Callithrix jacchus: one gene and its partners. The main gene of each other region encodes a partner of the protein of the gene in region 3 in a complex. Links are inferred from orthologs where the notes say so. Each region holds a gene or a part of one and is shown on either strand. Other genes may lie near its edges. The genes, in order: SH3BP5, ATF2 and MAPK10.

Region 1 (2,577 bases), on a different chromosome or scaffold from region 3:
GATCCACTGGCCTCAGCCTCCCAAAGTACTGGGATTACAGGCTTGAGCCACCTCGCCCGGCTGGCTGTTTAATGTTCTTAAATAGCACAAGAGACTTCTATGAACTTTCCTAAATGAAATATTTAGTAGGTAAAACATCTGTAAATATTTCTGAAACTTAAACCTCGATTGGCCAATGAAGGACCTTTTTCTCCACAGCATGTTTTAATAATGAAATGCAGATTAAGAGTCCACCATTATAACATTTCCACAAGACAAAGGATCCACCTGATTCTCAACTCTGAATGCACATTTGAAATCCCCTTGGGGAGCTTTTAAAAGTCTGATGCACAAGTGTACCCCCAGTTAATTAACTCTGGGGAAGAGACCTGACAGCAACACTTAAGCTTCCTAGGAGACTGCAGTGTGCAGCTGAGGCTGAGGACCATTCCTCCAGCATCACCACATCATCTTTATTTATCTGTCACTGTGTCTCCTCATTGCCCATAGCTTTAGCAGCAGCAGAAGTAGAACTCAAACCTTGGTAATCAAGGCTTAAATTACTACTGTTCTTCAAAACCTTAATTGAAAATGATTACTGGTGACCACAGCACTCCATGTTCTTCCTTATGGCAAGAGGGTGGCATAGAAGATTTAGACAATACTGGGAGTTCTTATTTGAAGTCACAGAGGAAACTTTTCTCAAGCGGTTTTTATTACACTCAATGTATTAAGACAAGTACAAAATAACCTTGTAATTAGGATACTGTATCAGTCAAAAAAGGAGGAGTCACTGTTGTATGAAGAGATTTACAAATGACTAAAATATACAGGCTGTGACAGAATTAACAATTTGAAAGAGGGTTTTTTTAGAAATGCTAAATTTTCTTAACAAAACGAGACAAAAATACAGTGCTCTAAATATGCATTACCATGAAAACATTAAAGAAAAGCAGTCTTAACACTTACTACTATTAACATAACAGACTCTGTTGCTTCTATTTAACAGCCTTTGCCAACACATGCCCACTCCCTTTCCTAGCTTTAAAGAAGTTTCCTCTAAGGAATACTAGTGCAGCATAACCCTTAAATAATTTCGTTTATTTTTAAAGTTACAACCTACAGATAAATTAACACCTTGTCAATCTAATAACAGTGGCAACCATTCTTCACATGCACTTCTCTTAGAATAAATCCCCTTAGCCGGCAGAATAAGGTTTATGCTGTAGAACCTTCTCCCCCACAGCCACAGATTCCCTTCTATGATAAGTCCCTCCTACCCTCATGCCCCCCCCATCCCCACTGGCATTCACCTTCCCCATCCCAAAAAGTGCAGCTCTTGGTAGCCTTTCTAGAAATGGTTTTAATGGGTATCTTAGCATACACGCTTTTTAAAAAGCCCCCTCTGAACACCAGAGGTGATGAAAATGAGTTGTGTTCTTGGATTTTTTTAAGCCTCCACCGGGTCAAAAATATGTGCTCTCAATACTTGAGTTTTTGCTTTGTATGTGGGTTTTCCTTATCATTTAGCTATCATGGGGTAAAAGTGGAGTGAAATCTCCATTTTCCCATTCAAAATTGAGGGTGAGAAGAGAAAGAGAAGCAAGCTGTTGGCCCCACTTTGGCTTAGCTTCCCAGCCATCTTCCCAGCTCTGGTTCTTTCATAGGAACTAGTTATTGCTTCCACAGTGCCATTACAAGGAATGTTCCACAAAGGCTGTGAACCTGGTCACAGTCTGCCTGCGACAACTCTGCTCTGAAAAACAAACCAGCTCAGGACTCTTACCCAGAACCATCTTCAGCCCTCAAGGTCACTGAAACTTCATTAGTGCAGTTTAGAGTAGACGCGTAAGATTTGGCATATATTAAATGATTATTGGCACAATGTTCTCCAGTTCCATGTATAAATGTTGATACGCACATGGGCAGGGCCCAGGATGAATCAGCCAATCTGCACCATTTTTATGTCAGCAATAATCCCATCTCTTCCTTTTGAGCGCTGTAGGGAGAGCTGCTTCATCCGGTTCTCCAAGGCCTGGCCCTCAGGGGAGGTGCTGCTGTGGCTCTTACTGCTGCCACCACCGCCACTGCTATTGCTGAGGCCCTGGTTGTTGTTGGCTTTGTCACTTGTTTTATTTTCTGCCCCTTCTGCCCTGTCTCCTATAGAAATACAAAGATTATCAAAAGTGAGTCTTGACAATTTTAAGTCACTTTGGGCTCAAACCAACTAGCTAACTCAGCCCTGTGGAATTCCCAGTGTTGCCTTCTGTGCCTATCCGGGAGGTTCTGAGTATGTAATCACTTACTGCTTTTATTCCTTGTGATGTTCTATATATTCCTTGACTTTAGAGATGAAATTTGCCATATTCACTTTATAGCTGAGAAACAAACCTTTCTACTATGTGCTTGCCAAGGAGACTGTTCTGATGTGAGACACAGGACCTAAGCCCTACTTTATAGAAGCTGAGTGGAGCCAGGAGCCTCCCCAGAACAGCACTTGGAAATAACCTCAGTGATCAACACTGACAGCACAACCAGAGACCAGGTAATGCAGCACGGAGGGCCAGAGGCCTGGCAGAGATACGACACGGCACAAGA
Region 2 (3,732 bases), on a different chromosome or scaffold from region 3:
TAGATTTATCCCCTCTTGCAACACCTATCATAAGAAGCAAAATTGAGGAGCCTTCTGTTGTGGAAACAACTCACCAGGATAGTCCTTTACCTCATCCAGAGTCTACTACCAGTGATGAGAAGGTTAGAAATTTGTGGAAATACAAACTAAGGGGGAAGAACAGTACCCAAATAAAGTTTACTATTTAATCTTCATAAAATGTTAATGTATTAAATTTTACTTCATTCATTGTCAGCTTGCAATAGTTTTATATGTGAAAACCTGTCAATACTCAGGTATTTTGGGATAAGAAGACTGCAGTTTTATTGTACACAGAAAAATTATAGGGATATTAGTCATATTAGATAAAACTTATTTTTTAAAAAGATATGTAAATTTATAAATTTAACTTGATTTTTCTGGGTTTTGCTACTTTAGCTACTTTTATACAGTAACAGCTTAATTAAGAATCTATTAAAAAAATCAGTTGAACAATGGTTTTTTTAGACTTTTACAGAATTAAGGGGCTACTTACTCATTCTCAGCAATGGACCTTTGCTACAGCAATTGGGATGATGATGATAATAGCTTGAATACCCAGATAATCTGGACCAGTTGTGTGTTGAATAATGTTATTATGGGAACTTCTGGATCACTTTTTTGTTCACAAGCACATAGAATAAATACATATTTACTTGGGGGTACCATGCAGGACACAGCAAAGAAGCAGTGGGCCACGTAAAGAGGCAGTGGAAATATTCTTTTTTAGATTATTGTTCTAAAACCATAACTTATTAATGGACTTCTGTTATGGCAGAGGAGCTAGAAAGAAGAAAATACAGAAAAAACATCTTTTTGCCTAAGAATAAATGCTTTGTTTTCTGGGTTTTTTTCCATTTTCTTTTTCTGATTTTAAAAGTACATTCTCATTATTCTTCTCTAACAATACAGAAAAATGAAAAGAAAACAAAAATCACTTATTAGCACACAATTGAATAAGAATTACTGTCTTGAAACATTTTTCTAGATATATGCATTTATACTTACAAATATATAAGTGAATAGTTAAATAGGATGGATGGATACAAAGGTCCTAGCTTCATTTTATATTGTGCTTTAGACACTCAGCATTAATGATTATTTTCCCATGTCCTTAGAAATTTCCCCAAATCATAATTTTTAATGGTTGTACTTTATTTTATCATTATATGATATGTATTACGTTATCCTGGTTTTTTTAGACATAAAGATTGTTTCCACATTATCACAGTTATTAGAAATGCTTTTTAAATCTCTGATATAAATCTTTTCTCCTAGATAGTATTTCGTTCTTTTCACACTTAAGAGCTTTCCATTGTTCATGGCTGCTTCAGCGTCTTTTAGGAGTATTCCTTCTTTCTGCATTCCCCAGTCATTAGGCCCTCCTTGAGCAAGGTATACCATATGAAATTGTTAAAAAAAAAAAAAAAAATCTGAGGCTCTTCTTCTTTTTTGATTTTCTTCCTAGGTGATCTCATCCAGATCCATAATTTTAATAAACATCTACATACTGATGACTCCCAAATTTCTGTGGACTTAGGTATCTTACCAGATTGCCATATTTATATCCAACTCCATTTTGACGTTATCTTTTCTATGTCTAATAGACCTCTTAAACTTAATAGATCAGAATCAGAGTCCTTGATTCTTTCCCCAGTTTTCCCCATCTCAGTAAATTTTCTCTATCCTTTTAGTTGTTCTAGCTAAGAATTTAGGGATCATTCTTAATTTCTTCTTTTCTTTTACACTGAAACTAACAGCATGTTTTATCAGACCTGAATCTCATCCTCTATGGCTGTATTCAGTGATACCACTTAAGCCCAAATCATCATCATTTGTTTGGATTATTAACAGTTACTCTCTAACTGGTCTTCCTGTTCTACATCCAGTCCATTTTCTGTAAGATTACTTTTAATATATTAAACATGTCATCTGCTTAAAATCTTTGAATGGTTTGCCATTGTGTTTAAGATAATTCACGCTCCTTGGCATAAACCCTCTTTTATCTGGGCCTGTCTTCCCGTCTATCCACACCTCATGCCTGTCTGTTTTGTTCAACAAATATTCTAAGCTTTTTCCCACCTCAGGATATGACATATGGTATTGCTTCCTCCTCCCTAGAATGAAATGCTCTCTTCCTTATCCTTTATTAGTTCAAATGCTGTTTTTGCAAAGAAGTAACTGCCTCTTCCTCTCCCCAAGCTAATCTTTCTTTATTATATTGCATGTATTATTCTGTAACACTTAACATTTATTGCAATCTGAAATTTTCTTGTGTATTTTACTTGTTTATTGTCTCTTCTCACTAGTCCTTGAGAGCATAAGTTTTCAACGTATTGAATAAATAAAGTTACAATAGTACTAGTTTATCCTTCTTCCTATGTAGCTTAATAAGATTTTGGTAAGTGGCAGCTACAGGCCAAATCAAAGAACACAATAGACCCAATTTTTACATTGACTATTTAAGGAATTCTGGGTAAAATCTTTTTAATCTTTTTGTTCTCTAATCTATAAAATTAGAGGAAATACTATATTTAAGGTCTTGGCTGACTAAGAAATTCTGTTTTCCTAACTTGAAAGAGATTAGTAATTATTTATTTTACATTCAAGATATCAGTATTACCTGGCCTTTTGATATTGGGAAATTATTGATATAGAAGAGGTAGCTACCTGAAATTAACAAATATTTGTATTGCTCTAAAAATTCTTAAGTATTACTGTTAATTTGTATCAACCGTAACAGTCCATTGGACCTATTTCCTCTTCATACGGTATAATGAGGGAGGAGGACTAAACAGTCCCTTCTGGATTTTAAGTTCTGTGATTCTCTGAGAATAAATTATATTTTTATTTTTTATTAAAATTCTAATGGATTCATAGCCAAGTTGCCCAATCTAACTTATTTCTGGATTGACAGGAAAACAAGTTGTACTAAAACAAACAAAACAGTCTTTTAAAATTAAAATGTTAATTGAACATTGCATTTGAATCTTTACAGCTCTTCAATGTTCTTTGAATTTTAATTTTAGATATTTGCTTTTAGTAATTATTATTCTGTAGATGCTTTTAGAAGTATGTTATATTCTGTTCATACTTGATTTGGTACATGAATTGATTTGTATTTTTTAATGCCACCCTTTATTTCATTGTTAAATAGGAAGTACCATTGGCACAAACTGCACAGCCCACATCAGCTATTGTTCGTCCAGCATCATTACAGGTTCCCAATGTGCTGCTAACAAGTTCTGACTCAAGTGTCATTATTCAGCAGGCAGTACCTTCACCAACCTCAAGTACTGTAATCACCCAGGCACCATCCTCTAACAGGCCAATTGTGTAAGTGATTCAGACCAATCATTGAACATATATATGAATTAAGTTTGTTTAGTTATGATTTCTTCCTAGGACATTTGATTATTCAAATTAAGATTTTAGTTTTGTGTGTGTGTATGTGTGTGTGTGTGTGCATCAGTTTTTGGAAAAAGTACTTGTATAGTCTTCTTTGGTATAAATGTTAACTAACAGAATGGAAGATAAATACAACTGAAATAGAGAATGTGAATTTAAGATAGTTTTATTTTCATGCTATTTCACACAAAATATAAAATTACTCGGTCACCAGATGACATTTCTTTCAGTTCTTACTGGTAGCTCCCAAGATCTCTCTGATGAGAATTTGTCTCATTTTACAAATTGGACATTGTCCTAAGTAAA
Region 3 (4,227 bases):
TTCCTCAGCTTCCCCGCCATCCCACCCCCTTCTCAAGCCCTTACACATACACATTCTTCTGGGCGGCCTCTAACCACACCATCTCCACAATCATTTGCAGAAATTAGAAACAGACTCCGGGAGCCCTTCCTTTAAGCACGCACAGAACGGAGCTGTGCAAGCACGATGGGGCAATGTCACTCCCTATTACCCCACAATCTCTTACTCCCCCTGTGGGTTTCATTCCGGAGAATCCGGCTTTCTTCCGCGGAGGAGATGGATCTACCTAATTCGCCATGAGTTTCATCTCATTCTTCCCCACTCCAGTCACCCCACCCCCACTCTAACGTTCAAAAACACCCACCACCACAACCAAAGAAAAGTTACTTCTACCAGGGCAACAGAGGAGCTGGGTTTAGGAACTGGAGCAAAAGCAGAGAGAGGAGGAAGAGAGCGAGCGCGGTGTACTTTGTTTTGCACTTCTGCAACATGCAGCGCAGAGCCCAGGGCGGCTCTAGTCCTTACCCGCTGGTCCCGAGACCGGGTCCTGCTACTGGAGCGCCGGGCGAGGGCTGCGGGGACGCGGCGTCGGGGCGGGCCGCCGGCAGCCGCCGCGGGCGCCGAGAGCCACCACCTCTTCTCCCCCAAGCGGCTGCGGGCGTGGGCTGAAGGAGCTGGAGAAGGAGCCTGGGGAGGGGGAGAAGAGGAGCAGCATCTCCTCCTCCTCCTCGCCTCGGAAACGCCCCTCCAGCCGCGATCCCTGCCGACTGCCTGACCCCTGAGCGCTCGACGCACCCCGCCGCCCTACTGTGCTCGACGCCCCTCGAAGAGCTTCGCCAAAACCTTCTGGTGCGGGCGGCTCAACTCCTGCAGGCGACTCAGAGCGCTGCCGAGGAGGACCGGGAAGCTACAGAGCGCGGCTCGCCAGCACCACGGTCTCTGGGGGCCATGAGCACAGTCTGTCACCCTCTCCTCGGCTCGGCCGCCGAAGCTACTGGCATCTCTACGACTCCACCTCCGGCAGCCGTGCCGGCTCCGCCCCCCGGTCCTGTCACTCAACCCTTCCCCGGCTCTGGGAGGGCCGCAGATCTCCGACCCCGAGCTCCCCTCGATCTCATTGGTCCGCCTGGCCTCCAGCTCCGCCTCCTCCCTACGGACGAGGTCGCCGGGGAGACCAGCGCCCCGGTTGCTATGACAACCGGTGCCTTGGGCCTGGCTTTTAGCGTTCTTCGGACTAGCCAGAAGCTCAGGTTGGTGACTGAGCGGCAAAGTTCTAGCGCCTGCAGTGTGAACTCCAACTTGTAGGCCAAGTTGAAAATGCAGCCGATGGTCCCCACACTTCTAACTTCAGAAACAGAACTTTATGACCCGGGGAGTGAAGGGGACAGTGAAAAGTGCATAAGTGCTGGCTCCTCCCTTACTCTTCCCTGCCTCGCAGCCTTGTTTCTATATTCTCACCGGGCGCTTTGGCTTTTGAAAGGATGAGGAGAAGGGGGGAGAGGAAGAGCACGGCTTTGCCAGCTCCTTGCAGCAGTATAGCAACTTAGAAATGGCGGAGTCAACGAAAAGAAGCCCGGTGAGTTTTCCCAGGATTGTAAAGCGATCTTCAAAGGTGTGGTGACAGCACAACGCTAAAGGCCCTAGAGAAAACTTGAATTCTCATGTTTTTGAAAAAAAAGTTTGTAAACATTTGCCTTGTTATTTTCTCTATAAGACTAAAATAATCCCGAAGTTTGAAAATTTAAGGAAAAGGTTTAACATAGTCGATAACTTCCCATTTTTCTATATACACTGAAACTTGGCCAAGGTATATCCAGGCAGCTAGACCCCTTCTTTCTGCAAGCTGAAAGATTTGAGTTCCAGTAGTTAATAAGAGAGTCTTGCTGAATTCATGAGCAAATAGTATCCTGTGAGTTTTGAAAGTTTTGGTTTATTCTCAGAGGTATAAGGTAAACTGGTCCACTCTGGAAAAGGGACCTGAGGTAAATTTAGTCTGAGAACCTTAATGTTGAGCCCTAGGTAAATCTGAATTTCATACTGGTTCCAAAGTGGAGAGAACGGAGGCTTGTTTAGCTTCCCCAAGAAAGTCAAAGCTGCAATCCTAGGTTCCCTAGCCCCTGAGGCTGCCATACATGTATGATGAATGAGGAAATTAATAGTAATGATTTATCTTTGGTGAGCACTTGAATTTTCATTATCTCGTTTACTAAATGAATAATTGTGATAGATATCTTCAGTCAAATATGCCTTGCAAGTATGTATTGAATGTGATTACTCACAGGGCTAAACACAGCGGAAAATGCACAGCAGAATTTTAAGATAAGTCCCTGCCCTCAAAGAGCTAACCAGGACTAGCACTCTTGAAAGAATTTGAGAACAATGATAGCTAAAATGAACAGCCAACCTTTGAGCAGGTAGCAGATAAGAGAAAGTCCACTATGTAAAATGGGCTGGATTCCTCAGTTTATGGAAGAGGGGAATTTACACTGGACTTTGATGAATGCAGCAAAGATGAGGAAAGTCAGCTGAGGAAAACAGCAAAAACTGGAGAGCAGCAGCAGGGTTGAGTGGTGAAAGTAAATAACAGGCCAGGCTCCCTGGCCTGGAGACAGAAGTGAATGATTGGAGTCCTTATTCTCCCCCCATTTTTAATTGTTCTGGTTCCTCTATCAGGGAGGTGGGAAAGGTAGATTAGGAAGAACAAAAACTTTCACGGAACATCTGTTTCTGTTTGCCTCTGAAAGAAAGTTTATGTATTTATTGGAAAGAAGAGCAATATCCTTAATTAATGGCTGTAATAGCTTGTGAATTTACATCAGAAAGGAGGTATAGCAAGTATAGTGTTGTAAATTTCTGCTGAGGTAGGCAAACCTACGAACCACGGTGTTACTAGCTTTTTTCTTCTTTTCTTTTCTTTCTTTCTTTCTTTTTTTTTTTTTTTTTTTGCATTAAGGCCATTTCAGGTGGTTGCCCTCAAGGCATTTTCATCAGTAATCCCTCTGTTTTGGATAAGCTGAAAGGCTGGTTTTCAAATACAACCTGATAAAAAGCACACAAAAGGGAAATATATAGGTTAAATTCCCTTGAGATATAATGTAAAAATCAAAATAGTAACATGGAACCCAGAACTATGTTACAAATTATATGCCAAAATTAAGAGAAATTGCTTCATGTATATAGTATGGCAATTGTTCAATAATAGAAAGTTTTTTCATATGCCTGATTATATTAATAAGTCAAAGGAAGAAAACATTATAAGTATCTCAACTGATGCTGAGAAGGATTCTGTAAAATCAGTATCATTCCCAATACAAATTAGAATTCAGAATAATTTAAATATATATTATATATACATGTTATACTAAAAGCAGCAACTTCCTTTATAACATAGCATTGTAATTATTTCTACTGAAGTCAAGTACAAGACAAGAACACTCACTATCACACGGGAACAATAGAAATGATAGCCAATGCAATTAGATATGAAATAGAAATTAAGAAATTAACTATAAATAACTCAGAATTGTCATTTGTTTGCAAATAATATTAAAACTCCAAAGAATCAACTGAAAAACTTTTAGAAGCAATAAAAGATAAATTAAGATAACTAGTTATAAAATTAACATATGAGGGGTGGGGCACAGTGGCTTATGCCTGTAATTCCAACATTTTGGGGGCTGAAGTGGACAGATCACTTCAGCCCAGGAGTTCAATACCAGTCTGGGCAACATGGTGAAACCCTTTCTTTGTAAACAATAAAAAAATTAGCCAAACGTCGTGGGATGCACCTGTAGTCCCATTACTCTAAAGGCTGAGGTGGGAGGATTGTTTGAGAGCCAGGAGGTTTAGGCTGATGTGAGCCACGATCATACCAAGACACTAAAACAGAGTGAGACCCTGTCTCAAAAATAACAATAATACTTTAAAAAATTAACATACAAAAATTAAGAACTTTCTCATGTATTATCATAACCATTTGAAAATATAATATAAAAATCCTGCTTACAGTAGCCACAAAAACTTAAGTAGCTAAAACTAAATGCTAAAAGAAATTTATAAAACTGGCTGGGCATGGTGGTTTATGCCTGTAATCCGAGCACCTCAGGAGGCTGAGGCAGGAGAATTGTTTGAGCCCTGGAATTCAAGATCAAGATCAACCTGGGCAATATAGCAAGATCCCATCTGTATTTAAAAAATAAATAAATAAATTATGTAAAATATAAACAAAAGTTAAAAGACTTACTTTAA

What was found.
Region 1: the proteins of MAPK10 (region 3) and SH3BP5 are in contact, whole or in part, in a crystal structure (PDB 4H3B), measured with the Homo sapiens proteins. The link is inferred for Callithrix jacchus from reciprocal best matches to the Homo sapiens genes MAPK10 and SH3BP5. Residues at the interface, in NP_620448.1 of Homo sapiens: Lys121, Asp150, Ala151, Gln155, Val156, Met159, Leu161, Glu164, Arg165, Tyr168, Tyr171, Val197, Lys198, Ser199, Asp200, Cys201, Trp362, Asp364, Glu367; in NP_004835.2 of Homo sapiens: Val341, Val342, Arg343, Pro344, Gly345, Ser346, Leu347, Asp348, Leu349, Pro350.
Region 2: the proteins of MAPK10 (region 3) and ATF2 are in contact, whole or in part, in a crystal structure (PDB 4H36), measured with the Homo sapiens proteins. The link is inferred for Callithrix jacchus from reciprocal best matches to the Homo sapiens genes MAPK10 and ATF2. Residues at the interface, in NP_620448.1 of Homo sapiens: Asp150, Ala151, Gln155, Met159, Glu164, Arg165, Tyr168, Val197, Lys198, Ser199, Asp200, Cys201, Trp362, Glu367; in NP_001243019.1 of Homo sapiens: Lys48, His49, Met51, Thr52, Leu53, Lys54, Phe55.

The regions. Positions count from the first base shown.
Region 1 is NC_133518.1:54,069,913-54,072,489, forward strand, and holds the end of SH3BP5 (SH3 domain-binding protein 5), read right to left. Parts: intron 2,140-2,577; coding exon 1,922-2,139; 3' UTR 677-1,921; downstream 1-676. UniProt on the Homo sapiens protein: Functions as a guanine nucleotide exchange factor (GEF) with specificity for RAB11A and RAB25. Inhibits the auto- and transphosphorylation activity of BTK. Plays a negative regulatory role in BTK-related cytoplasmic signaling in B-cells.
Region 2 is NC_133507.1:54,331,653-54,335,384, forward strand, and holds part of ATF2 (cyclic AMP-dependent transcription factor ATF-2), read left to right. Parts: coding exon 1-122; intron 123-3,175; coding exon 3,176-3,354; intron 3,355-3,732. UniProt on the Homo sapiens protein: Transcriptional activator which regulates the transcription of various genes, including those involved in anti-apoptosis, cell growth, and DNA damage response.
Region 3 is NC_133504.1:110,986,312-110,990,538, forward strand, and holds the start of MAPK10 (mitogen-activated protein kinase 10), read left to right. Parts: upstream 1-1,427; 5' UTR 1,428-1,555; intron 1,556-4,227. UniProt on the Homo sapiens protein: Serine/threonine-protein kinase involved in various processes such as neuronal proliferation, differentiation, migration and programmed cell death.